Drosophila melanogaster: one gene and its partner. The protein of the gene in region 1 interacts with the protein of each later gene in a pairwise test. Each region holds a gene or a part of one and is shown in the gene's direction. Other genes may lie near its edges.

What was found. Proteins that work in one complex are often made in the same cells at the same time.
Region 2: the proteins of CG17211 (region 1) and Cpr35B interact in a two-hybrid assay, tested with the Drosophila melanogaster proteins (one large-scale study listed by BioGRID).

The regions. Positions count from the first base shown.
Region 1 is NT_033779.5:12,111,246-12,119,171, forward strand, and holds the start of CG17211 (uncharacterized protein), read left to right. Parts: upstream 1-3,114; 5' UTR 3,115-3,405; intron 3,406-7,926. Other genes in the region: Phae2 (phaedra 2), read left to right, coding at 1-700.
Region 2 is NT_033779.5:14,422,838-14,428,979, reverse strand, and holds Cpr35B (cuticular protein 35B), read left to right. Parts: upstream 1-3,790; 5' UTR 3,791-3,848; coding exon 3,849-3,860; intron 3,861-3,922; coding exon 3,923-4,567; 3' UTR 4,568-4,665; downstream 4,666-6,142.

The DNA.
Region 1 (7,926 bases):
GGGTGGAAAAGCGGCGGCGGCCAATAGTGCTCCGTATATAGTGTCCATGCAGTACGGAGGAACTCACTATTGCGCCGCTAACATCATTAATTCCAACTGGCTGGTAACGGCTGCTCACTGCCTGGCCAATAGGAATCAAGTACTTGGAAGCACCCTGGTGGCTGGAAGCATTGCGGTGGCCGGAACAGCGAGCACAACACAGAAGAGGCAAATCACCCACTATGTGATCAATGATCTTTATACCGGCGGAACTGTGCCCTATGACATCGGATTGATTTACACGCCCACCGCCTTCACTTGGACCGCTGCAGTGGCTCCGGTGAAGCTGCCATCGTCCGGCGTGAGGCCAACTGGAAAGGCTGACCTCTTTGGCTGGGGCAGTACTAGCAAAACGAATAGCCCCTCATATCCGAAAACCCTCCAGGAGGCGAAGAACATACCCATCATAAGCCTCGACTCCTGCGCTGCGGCACTTGGCTCTAAGGGTCAGGATGTGCACACCACGAACCTGTGCACAGGTCCTCTCACCGGCGGCACCAGCTTTTGCACCTCGGACTCCGGTGGTCCGCTGGTCCAGGGAAACGTTCTAATCGGCATCGTGTCTTGGGGAAAACTTCCATGTGGTCAGCCCAACTCTCCGTCGGTGTATGTCCAGGTCTCCTCGTTCATAACATGGATAGCAGCCAACCAAAAGAAATGAATTCTGGAGTATAAGATAGTATCTGAATAAAGAAATACTTATGAGATTGCAGTATCACGTGCTTATTATAAATGACAACTTTTAGAGTCTTTAAAATCATGCATTAATTGATTGTAATGTATCTTTGAAAGAACTTAAAAGCATTTATATACATTTTGTTATATGTCGAATTATCTTATCTAATAAATAAATAGAGCTAGTTTAAGAAGATGGTAACCAATGTATATATATATTTTATAACAAAGTAAATCAGATAAGACTATAAATGTTTTAGATATCCAACTTATATGTGAACCCAATTTTAACTAGATAAAGCTTTCCAAGAAGTAGCAAAAATAAAGATATAAAAATAAGCTTTATCTTTTCTTTTGTTATAAAAAACTGAATATAAACCAAAAAAGGGTAATGTCAACAAGATGTTATCTTTACCAAGAAATATCCGGATTAACTTTCCATTTTTCTATTGCACAACTATTCTGAGCACTATACTCCCCAGGGAACTTAGCACTTGGAATGAGTTTTGCTTTTGAATCCGTCTCACTTTTGGTGTCAGCACGTCCAGATTTCATTTCATCCCAGACACTCCTCTTCAATCGCTGTTTTTATCAATCATATTGATCGGAATGTTCTTATTGGGAAACTAATTGCTCGGTAAGTTGCTGGACACGATCGCAATCAGTTTATTGACACGACCAGTACATAATTGAATGGACATATCAATTTCCCATCACAATCACACCAGCAAAGCTTATTAAGTGCCTCCAAAAGAGCTTCGCAAGCAAGGCGGCCAAGAGCGCGGAACGTGGCCCAAAGAACGATGGCCAGAACACGCCCGCAGCTAATCAGGCTCTAATGGCGATAAATATTTCATTCTATATTATTCTGTTTCCATTCCCCCAACCAAACACGCCTCCAAGTCCCAGTCAAGCTGCCTGGCCAAGGAGTCAAGACAAAGCGACGACTCAACGGGAATGGACAGGGGAGTCCACCAGAACAGACCCACCGACGGACCCCCGCCTCCATCAGACGGACAAAATCTCCGACGCGATCGATGAAGACAAGGCTGATAAAGGAGTCACCATGCGGGAACCAGAGATGCCGCAGTGAGTCCACCCGAATTTCGAAAAAGTGGAAGTTGCATTTCTTATAGAGAGTAATCAATTGCGATCATTTGCAGCATATTATGAAGAACAAGTTTTAAAACTCAAAAAATTTGTTTAGTATAAGTTTAAAAAGAGTTTTTAGTTTATAAAAGTGAATACAAACTTATGTTGCATTCACGATGTCATCTCCGTTCTGAACAAAAGAAATTCATCTGAGCAAAGTTGAGGCAAGGCCAGATCACTGTGCTTCCTTCGCAATCTTTGTGTTATGAATCGAACAGATTTATGCAACCTGGCGAACAACATGGGCGGCTGCTCCTCCGTCGCCAGTCTCCAGATCCCTGCTCCCTCAATCGTTTGCTGCGTTCCTCCGCCGACGAGGATGAGGATGAGGATGCGACCGCGACATTTGGCTGCGCCATTATGAGTAATGGAGTAATGCCTGGAATTATTTACTTGGGGGCTTTATTGGCGTCGGCATTTGGCATCGGAATGAATGTCTGTGCTTTATGGTCTTTTGTGTATATACACACGCAAGTATATATTATTATATTTTTTCATGTCGGGATTCTGCGGTCGGAAAGACTGCGAATGGTTTTATAATTGGTAAAGGGAAGAACGGATTATTGAAATGAGTTAGATATGATTGGGCCATAAATAAGAGGTATAGATTGCATTGTTGATTCAAATAAAGTGACTAATGTGTTTGAAAAAATAGTAAATAGTGTAAAATATACAAAATATGTGTGAACAAATAAATTCTTGTCTTAACAAATAATATTCATATTTGCATTATGCTAGGTATAATTTTGTGTACATGAAGTTGAAAGTAAAGCCCCGCAAAAGTTACACCATTATTTTAATCACATGTCACGGACAATTATGTGTGGTGTCAATGAAGGCAGCTTGTCACTTTCTAGTTCATTCAACTCTTTAAATAAACTATTGAAGGTTTTTATTTTTCAAAAAAATAGCCCGTCCGAACTTTTATCTTTGCAATCGTTCCGCGAACTTTGGCCAATCTTATGGACAAAATCTAAAGCGAAATCTAATTTTTAATTGGCCAACAAACTGCGGACAAGCGACATTTCATGCTTATCGGCAGTACAACCAGCAATTAATCTCCCTTCGGTGGAATGGAGAAGACTCTCTTAGCAGATGCTCTCTTTCTCTCGAGAGAATATATCTCTTTCGCTGCAGCTTTCGAACGAGAATCTTTGGCGCGCTCGAACAGAAAAAGAATTCAGTATGCAGACAACTTTCTTCCGAATGCTTTTCTTAAAAGCAACTCGAACTTGTTGCTGAGCCTCAGTTTGAAAACAGCACGCGACGCGTTCAGAACGAGAAAACCATACGCGCAAGGTGGATATAAAAATAATAATAAAAAAAAAACACAATAAATGACTCTTCTTCGAAGACTCAAAGACTAGAAGACACTTCTTGTGGTCAACGATGATCGAACCCTTGAGTGGCAGTGGTGAAGTGCAAGCATAAGCAAACAAACAAATCAATAATAAACTAAGCTGTGGAGTTATATTCAATGCTTTTTTGTTTTTGTGCCCCACAGTTAGAGTGGATATAGGAAAACCTCAGACTGGACAGGTATGTGAACTTGCGGAAAACTCCAGGAATGCATCATTGGGAATTCTTGGTTCGTTCTTGGGGTCGTTGTTGCGGTTCTTTGTGGCCTCGCCGCCAGCTCTTTCCACACTTTGGGCATGCTAAAATTTAATAAGTGTTTTCCTCAAACCGTTTTTCCTGTCGCCTCTTTTTCACGCTTTTTTTTTCTACGTAGCTGTTCTTGTTGTTCAATTCTGTGATGCATTACCGTAGGGGGGGGGGGTGTGGTATATGCAGTTGGCACGTCCCTCTTTGCCGCCACCAACTTGGCAAATTCTTGCGGCACATTTCATTTATCTGTTTCGCTCCCGCTGCCAAAAGCATTTTCCGCGTCGTGTCGTGTTAACGGTATTGTTTACATGGTTAATAGAACCCACCGACTTGGTGGCCAGATAAATAAATACTAGTAGACACACACAAAAACCTACAGCCGGAGCCAAAAGACCATGCTTCAGTGCACTCGTTCTTGCGGCCGCAGAGACAAAAGCAAAATCACACACAATCGAAAGACTCAGGCAACGAACTGACTCCACAGGCAACGATTCCTGTGTGTTGATCTAGGTGTAATGAGTGCGGTAAAACAACATATACATTTTAATTCGTTTCTTGGAAGACTCTAATAATATTATCAAAGATTTCTGCACTTCTTTGCGTATTTATCAAAGCGTAAAGAGAACATGAAAATTCATATTTTATTCAATACAAACGAAAGACTGAGGCAACGAACTTTCTGGTAATAAAAAGTAAATGGTGTATTTATTTAATTGAATTAGAAATGAAATTCCCAACTGTATAATGTTAATCAAGTTATTCCGATTCCCAGCAAATCTATGCTAATTAAATAATGCTTACCAGCTTGCGCAGACCAATTAAAGAAATAGTCGATGACAGTAAAAGAAGCAGCCACCAAATTGCTTATTTATTAGCCAAAAGAAAAGAAAATATCTGGAAACGGCATGCTAATGATGTAAACTAAGCATTTAACTGTTAAGATGCCAGCAGCGGCAGGCAAACATAAAAAGTCGCATCACTGGGGCACACTGTGAGAAAAGCGGGGAGGTTCAATTGGGGCAAGACGAACCCAAGGTAACGCCGACAAAAAAAAAACTTAGGCGACTTCCTAAGACAAATCAAAGCCGTTACAATGGTCGCACAGCCGCAAAAAACGCACTCGGAATTGGAAAACCGGGGAAACCAGAAGGGAGAAGACCGAGAGTGTGGAGATCAAGGGAGAGAATGTAGGTTGCACTGGCTTTAATTACACTGCACAAAAAAGGAGGGTCAACAAATAAAAGATAAATATAACTTAGAAAAAAATCACCGTCGTACAAGTTTTGGGCAAAGTTTGTCCATCCTAAAATGGGAATATAAAATAAGATATTATTATTATTTATTAAATGTAATACTTAGTAAAATAAATCTATCTTTCGGCTTAATACAAATAAATCTTTCAAAATACATTACGTAAGAAAAAATGTGGATTTCTAAGATCTACCTTGTCATTATTATATACTCGTCTTTGTTTCCTGTGTATAAATGTTCAGAGTAATCTTTTGCTACTCAGATACTGACTGTGATGTTGTTCTTACTTTTTTGTTTAAGAAATTACCGTTTTATGTTGACAAAAAGAAGCAAGAAGAAGCAGCTGCGCTAGAAGAAGGAGAACTGGCTTAAGGTTGAGCTGGGAGTTTGAGTTTGTGTTTGGCTTCTGTGTGATTACAGTACCGCTCCTAATGATCATCATTAGATAGCCAAGGGTTTTTTTCTCTTCCATCCAGCTGCTGCGCCGATTCTACTGCTTCTTCTTGCCACTTCTTGGAGCTTGACGTGACGACATGCAATCGCAAAGAAGGTAGAAAGAAGAAGCTATAAGAAGCGGTAGAACAACACCAATAATATTTGATAATGCAAAGCGGAAGCTATAAAACTCGTGTGTAAGACGACATTTTACGTTAGACGGCCATTAAGGCGAGCCAAAAGAGAATTTGCTAATTGCCTGCAATTGAAAATGTTAGTGAAAGAACTCAGGGAGCTAAAGGAAATCTACGAGCTTGGGTACGAAGACGGGAAGAAAGCTTCATTAGGCTATATAATAATGTCTTTAACTGGAAGTCGAAATACACGACAATTATATGGTGCATAAATGACCTATATTCTATGTAAGTCTCAACTTTGAGAAACTGAAGAAAATTTTAAAAATGTTTGTCAAAAATCGTAGAATAATAAATTCATTTTATTCACTTACGCAATTAGTTGTAAAAAATAATAATCTTACCAGAAATTTGTAGAGCCTAGTCGAGTTAATGAGCTTACAAAGCCACTTGATATCTTTAAGGTATCAAAAGAACTTCCTGACTGCCCTTTGGTCATCTCGATAATCTGACCAAAGTGTGGTGTGCCACAAATTCGATTATCAGGGCCGGGAGCTGAGCTTCGACCGCCATCTCAAGGTCGAAAAAAAAAGTATCTTGTATCTGGTATCTGGTATCTAAACTCTCCTTTCAAGTGGAGCGCTGTAGTCCAGCCCACAGTTAGCGCGGCCACATTAGCAACATCTGATATGCCGAATAGCACTGGGCACTTAAGGAGAGGCCCCATTACCCGGCCAAGAACAACAAAAGCTGGCCCGCACGTAATCTGATATTGCAACGGTGAGGCAAGCAGCTGAAAAAGAGTGCACGTATAAAGAAGGCAGCGAAAAAGCAAAAACCAAACCAAACTTAGCCTGGCCATATGAGGAGAATCTCTTTCTTTTGTGTCGCCACTATCCGAATAACATCAGCGAAATACACGGAAAATAAGCAGACTTATGGAAATTAGATATACCTACCCCTATAAAAGGGTGTTGCTGGTCCATATATGAGGTTTATATTATGCAAAATATGGGCTTCGTAATTAATCTATTAGATTGTTGTTTATGTAACCAAACATTTTAGTACCTAGCTTATATATAAATGTATTTTATTTGGACACTTAGGTGTCATTTTTCCCATAGATATTAATACAATTTAATGGGGAGATATAAATTTCCTTTTTATGACCTTTGTTCTATGCTTCAATAAAACGTAAACCCATGTGCTTCCTTGACTTCTGTCGGCACATTTTTTGTAACGCATTGTCAGATTAATTGCCACAGGAGGAGGAATTTTAAAAGCCATCTATTCCCTGCTAATTAACTTCGGACTCCTCACGGCGACGTGCTGCAAGAACAGAGTCGAAGATAAAACATTTTATGGCTCTCTTAGGTGCTTTCCCCACCTGCAGCACGCCCCATTCCAACGCCAGTTGAAGTACAAAATACAAAAACCAAACCCTGGGCCACTCTAAGCCAAAGTCGGGCCTTGGGTTATTTATCAGAGCTGTCAGCGGGCCATAAATTCCGACTTTTGTCACTACCATTTATGGCCTAAAGAGTTAACCAATAAAAAAAAAAAACACAATTGGCTGGCGCAATGCGTTATATAAGCACTATGTCTGCATCTGATCTAACGGTGCTTGGCTCTGGGTTCTTTTGGGGTTCTTTTGGATTCTTTTGGAGTCTCTGGATTTTCTTGGGCTGCCCGGTTTCCTTGTTTACAAGACACCTTGACAAATGTGCCCGGAAAGAGGAAAACATTCGAGACGGAAAAACAACACGAGTCAGAAATTTGCATGGCAACTGAAATGGAAATGGGTGGAGTGAGAAGCAGCCAGGAAAAAGAAAAAAAAACAACAGCGATCACAACTCCATTGCAGTTTTATGGTGCATTGTCTTGCAGCGCTAGAAAGCTGAATAAAAAAAAAAGAAAGGAATCGCCAATTGTAACAAAAGTCAGAACAAGTTTGCCACAAACTCTGGCCGGTCGTTGGCTTTGGCCCACAGAGATGCGCGTGTGATGGAATTATGATCATGTTTCGCGGCACTTATGGAGTTTTCTAAACCACACAATATATGCACTTGCCATGACTTCAAAAACTGGGACACATCTTAAAGATGTGGTCTATACGAATTTAAAGCACGAAGCTTGGTATTTCTTTCAAATTTCGATTTTACTAATTGGTATATATATTTCAAAGATATGAAACCACTTATAACTCCGCAAATAAGTGCCATCTCTAGCAATTGAATTTAGAATTCGCCCAAGGAGTCGCATCTTTAAATTGTGGGAAAAGTAATGCAAGGCAATGGAGCACGTTCCATCTGCTGCATGATTTATGCATTACAAAAATATGAACTCTATATTAATCGCGGCCTGTCATGTTGACAATTTTATTACGCCGTTCTGGCCGCATCACGAATCCGATTATTTAACCTCGAATGGAACCTTTTGTACCTAAAAAACTAGTATAGTAAAGAACCAAAGCAGGGCGACATCAATTTGCCAATAGGTACTTGGGGGTATTAAGAACTTTCGGTTGATTGCTTGGCGCAGTTTCGTTTGTGGATTCGCTGATGGTTTTGGCTTTTGTGAAAGGTGCCATAGCTGGACGACACAAAAAAACCTTTCCCAGTTCTGCAGGTTT
Region 2 (6,142 bases), 2.3 Mb from region 1:
TACTTCACTCGTGGGACCTGAGTGGAGATAATGTCTTAAGTATCGGCGACCAAAATGTCATTAATGTCAAGTGCTTATAATGACTGGTAAGATGTTTTGTGAAAAAGTCTTTCAATCTTGAAAGACTTGACTGGAGGCATGCATAATTTGCTTATATCCAGTGGCTACTGTTCCGATCGAGTCTATGGGAGGCAATTACGAGTGCTGTGATTACGCGATACGCTCCATTATTAAGCGTATTTGTCGGCTCAGTTCAAAAATGGCCACACAATCAATTACAGTCACCTTTTCATTGATTCCCAGCTGAGGCTGTCTTTGAACAACTTTTTCCTGTCTGCACACACTCGAAATGTTACTCTGTACTGTATAAATTAATGAGCATCCTTAATTGTTCATATTAACTAATGTTTAAGTGCGAATAAAACTCACTTGTAGTTAAGTTATTTAATGGGTTCTAAGACTTGCACACATATGTTAACTATATGTATGTATAAGCAAGAGGCACAAAATTTCATAAAATATCCCACAGCACATTCATATAAAATTTGATTTGCATTCGAAATATGTAAGAAATTCCCCATAAATACCTGACTAGCTGAGCAAATAATTAGGGGACAACAAGCGATCACAAATTGCCAGAAGGAGAGGATATATAGGCAACCTGATAAATACCAACATGTCCAGACTTAGCCATTAATAACTGGTAAGCTCAGCAATGTTGTTGCGTTGCTAACTATTTTTGTTCACAGACAGCAGAGGCAGCAAAAAAAAAGCGTTTGTAATTATAACGCAAAAAGGCCGCGACAAACTCATTTGTCCATAGTGAAAAATTCACATTACACAGCGTCGCTGCCTGCGGAGTTATTGACATGGAGAGAGGTGAAGATTGGGTAGATGCCATTTGAGGCCTGGTCAAGATGGTCAGTGGATGGTCGGTGGATGGTGGCAAAATTGCCATGACAACAAATCAAGCATCATAATGTGTCAAGCAATGCATCAAGTGGCCCAACTGGAACGTCAAGGCAGCTGCGATGAAGCAAACGCATTACAACGTAATTGACGAGAATTGTCAACACTCCTCGGGACTCCAGAGGCATCGTAGATGGCATCGGGATGCCTTGGCATGTGCTCATCCTCTCCATCCTCCCCTGGATGTTCCAACACCTCGAACCCGGCCACTTACTTTATTTATCGCAATTACCGATTACAGCTAACTTTATGGCTTGCCAACCAGTTTCTTGTCCAATTGCAATTGCTGCGAATTGTCTTAACGCATTTTCTTGCGTCTTTTTCGCCTGACGATATTTTATTGTCATTGCCTCGGATGTAAGTAGGTAGTGCTGGAAAGCTAAGTATAGAAATTGTATATAGAGTGAGAGATTCAGTAATGAGTATTGTGAATAAAATTAAACAGGTTCTTTCATAGCAATATAATGTTTAAATTATCATTCAAAGTAAAATTTAACAACATTATATATGAGCCTAAAGGATAATGTCTCTTTTTCAGATCATGTAATTGCTTTTAGTCATTAACTTATTCAATTAGTTTGCCAGCTTGCAGTTAATTTATAAAATGCTTTCGCTTAGTATATTATGTTTTCCCCTGTGTGAAGAGTATTCAGCTTATTAAGAAGTCCAATTAAATGACGTTCCATAACTTTTGCAAACAATATGCCTCTTTTACTAGCCACAATCGCGATTAAACTCGATATCCGTACTCAGCTTCGGTTTCGATTCAGTTTATGTTTCGCTTGGCAGTGACAGTTGATGGGATCCTGTCAAATGAGTATCTGTCAACAAGCCCTCAACATTGTCGTTTTCAATTTTCGGCAGGATACCAGTGAAGGATATTTATGGTCGCTGTGGTGCTGTGCGAAAAATTATCGAGGCATTTTGATCGTATTTCTTAAGCTCGTTACAGTGGGGAACAATTTCGTATGCGACGCATAATGAGTTGCAACTTGCGACTTGCAACGAGTAGAAGTGAATGTTAAAGTTGTCCCTTCGTTGTCTGCGGTTGTTGATCTGCTGCCGTTCCTGCTGCTGCTGCTGCTGTTGATTATCCCTTGACAGGGCATCAAATGCGAAAACGACCGCCCAATTTACATACAATGCACATCAATCGAATGGGCTACAACTACAGTCCTGTCACTGCCACCGGGCACCTTTGTGGCATCATCGGTTTTCCCCATCGCCTCCTATTTTTTTTTGTTGTTGCTGTCCTGTATTTACCCTTTTACCCAGCCTTTTGGGCCCGGCAATCAAGCGTACTTGTTGTACGACTCCAGCAACTGGCCAACCGGCCAAAACGACCGACCAACCGACCAACAACTTTAGCGGCCATGACACAAAGATTGACAGCATGTCGTCGCTGTTTGGAAGCCTGATTGACATGAGTAATCAAGCAGCCGAAATGTGCCCACAAAACGCAGCCAGCAATGACACTGACAACGAAACCAGCCAACCAAACCACGCAGCCTTTCGTTTGCCCCTTTGACTGACAACGATGAGTCGACAGCGACGGCAACTGGCAACTTGCAACTTGCGACTCTCAACTTGCGGCAGCAACATTGCGGCTCTGTGCCACGTTCAGACCACTGCCATAAGGGCAATTTCGATGATGAAAGAAGGGGGCTTTCACTGCTCCCAGATCTCGACTTTTGGATGCATAAGCCCAGTTACCATAATCAGTATCAATTAAACCACAACTGTTGCATAAAGTTATCTAAACACAGCAGAAGGAGCATAATTTAAGGCATTGAGGGTACATAGAGGGTACCAAAAGTAAAAATAGTAATAAATACTAATAAATACTTAGCATCATATAACTGATGGTCCTTGAATCTGTTAGCCATGTTCTTCTATCCCTTCTTTCTGAACATTCTCATCCAATTATTACATTCCCAGCTAATTCACGCATCAAATGCAAATTGCATTCAAGTATGTTCCATCCAGCCACGTAGCTCTTCTTGCCAGACTTGAGCACTTTCAAAAATCCGTATCCTTTGCGGATTACAAAACAGAACCAATATCCCCATTGTCAACTCGAATGTGGCCTTTGATGAAGGCGACACGACATTGACAGACGGTAGCCGATTGACTGCTGACAGGCGGACTGGCGGGACAACAGTCCACCGAAAGTTGGGATCCCGATCGGGATCGGGAAACGGGACTGGGATTGGGATGGGATGGGATTGGAATTGGGATTGAGGAGAGCAGACAAGCCTTTCCGATCTGGCCAAAATGAAGAAGCCGCTGCCGAGGGAGAACTGCAAACTGCAATTCTGATGACTTTTTGTCAGGCCTGATTGACGTCAACGACTCGAAGACGTTTGTCAGGCATATAAATCTTTTGGCTCGTTTGTTTCTTGGCTATGCCCACATATACCAATCCCAATCCAAATCCGACTCCAAGCCGGGGGATTATAATGGCCGACAACGACAGCGATGCGATGCATAAACAATGCCACTTTAAATTGGCAATTGTTGCGACAGTAAATTTTACAATGAATTACTACACTGCCATTCTTTTCTTTCCTCATTTTTATGTTTATTTATTTTTTTTTTTTACGGATTTTCGAAACAACAGCTAAATAAAAGGGTCGAACTGGCAGTCGAATATAATTGCACGTCTCTGGGGCGAAAGTACGACCTGATCTTGAACTGCAAATTGGGGCGTAACTAAAGACCGATTTACCAATTCTTTTTTGAAAGTTTAACCTATGGGTTCGATTTATTCCAACTATAAAAAGGCCGGGTTAAAGGTGTTTTAGGTACAGTTCACTTTGGTCTGGAGATCAGACAACAGTAGTCTAGCTAAGATTAACTCATAAACTAGCTGCGGTACCATGGCTCAAAAGGTGAGTTCAGCAAAAAAGGATAACAACTAAAGCAAATTATTATTCACCTCGATTTTCCTTAGTTTTTCATCGCCTTTGCCCTCTTGGCCATTGCGGCTATTCGGGCAGCTCCTTTCCATGGCCACGAACACCACGGTCATCACGGTGGAGCCACCAGTCATGCCTCCGTGCATCTAACATCGCACGACGATCATCACGAGGAACATCACGGTCATCATCACGACCATCACGGGCATGATGATCACCATGACTCCCATGCTGAGTATGACTTCCAGTACGGCGTCAAGGATCAAAAGACTGGGGATGTGAAGTCACAGAGTGAGTCACGACATGGCCACACGGTTACCGGACACTATGAGTTGATCGATGCCGATGGCCACAAGCGAACTGTCCACTACACGGCGGACAAGCACAAGGGATTCGAGGCTCATGTCCATCGCGAGAAGCTCCACGATCACCACCAGGCGGAGCACCATGGCCATGGACACAGCGGCTACGAGGGCGGACACGTTGAGTTCGAGGAGCACTCCTCGCAATCCGGACACGACTATGGCCACGGACACGAGGAGCACGGTCACGGTCATGGTCATGGACATGGTCACGGAAGCAGCTCCCACAGCTATTCGCTGAAACAGGAACACGGACATGGGCACGGCCACAGCCACGGTCAGGATCATGGTTTCGAGCACGGACACGGTTACCATTGAGTTGACCCCTAAGCTATACAATTGTTTATCAATCGTTTATTGAACTCTTACCAAATACCTATTGTTGTTATACCAAAATAAATCAGGCAAATATTTTCAAAATTGAAATAATTATTTGATTTGAAATGGACAAGAAGTGTAACTAAAGTTTCCCTAAAACCTATTAAAATCGAATTATAAAGTTTCTATACTTACCAACGAACTATTAACTTAAAAAAGAAACAAATCACAGTAGATAGCTCTTTTCGATACATTTGGAATATTTAAACATTTCAAATTATTAGTGAAATTTTAGCATATTTAGCATATGGTGATTTATGAATTGAATAGGCAGGCATTCGCGACTCAACACCAAGACGAGAATCGCATAGACCGTAATTTGGGTCAGAATCAGTAATGTGCGACACGACAGGCGAGATATATCACAAATTCGATTATTATAAATCATATTTGTACAGTTTATCCATAAATTAGCCCGCATATCTATCTATTCGCTGGCTATTTCAGGTGGCTGAAACTTGTATTTTTTATGCAAGCATACACACATATTGTATATATGCGTGCACATGGCGATTTTTTATGGGCGATTTCTTTTCACTTCTAGTGGTGGCAATCGGGTTTTCGGAGTTGAAAGTCCTTTATTCATCCGCGCACACCCATAAATCAAATATATATATCTCCCTAGCATTCGCGAGTGCGTGTGTTTTTGTTTGTTTGTTGCTTTCCCCTCAGCCCGAGTTGGCTACAATTTGTTTAACAGACAGGCTCGGCACATCCTTGCGTTATCCTGTTGCCCTCGTTTGTTGCTGTATTACAAATGACTGTGGAATATTTATAAGCATCATAAATTTAATTTATGTCGCCGCTGCGCCCGCCGCGTTTATTGTGCGCATAATAAACGCTCCACAAAAATCCCTTCTCGACCCAACTCGACCGGGACTCCAGTTGCCTCTCGCTTCGTGTAATTTATTATTTTTATACGTTCCATGTGTTTGTGCGGCACGCACTTTCTACATTATGTAATATACGAGATATAGTGCGAAAATTGCAACAGCTATTACTTATATTTATTATGGCACTTTTTGCCGGATTTTTGTGCTTCTTGTGTTGCAAATAATGATTAATTGAGGTTCATTTTTTCATATTGAGAAGCTCAATTTGTAGGTCAGAAAAACAGAAATTATACTAATAATTTGTTAAATAAATCATTTGAGTAGATATGCGCAAATATTGTAAAAGAAGCTTTCAATTAAGAAATAATACGTTTAAAAATGCTTCATTTCAATAATGAAAATATTCCCAATCAAAATAAGTATCAGTATATTAAGATTATATATTATCTCATTGCGATTTCTGATTATAAAAAAGAAATTATCAACTGACATTTAAGGAAATTATGCGTTTTGTATTTTAATTTTCCTTAATCACGATCCTTAATCAATGCGATTCGACACTTAATGAGCTAAAGTGAAAAATTTACATGCCACCTAATGCAATTGAATCATAAATTTTGTTTCGGAAAAAATTAAATTGAAATTAATTAAGCTAAGCTTCAAGGGAATGTGAAGTCGCTGT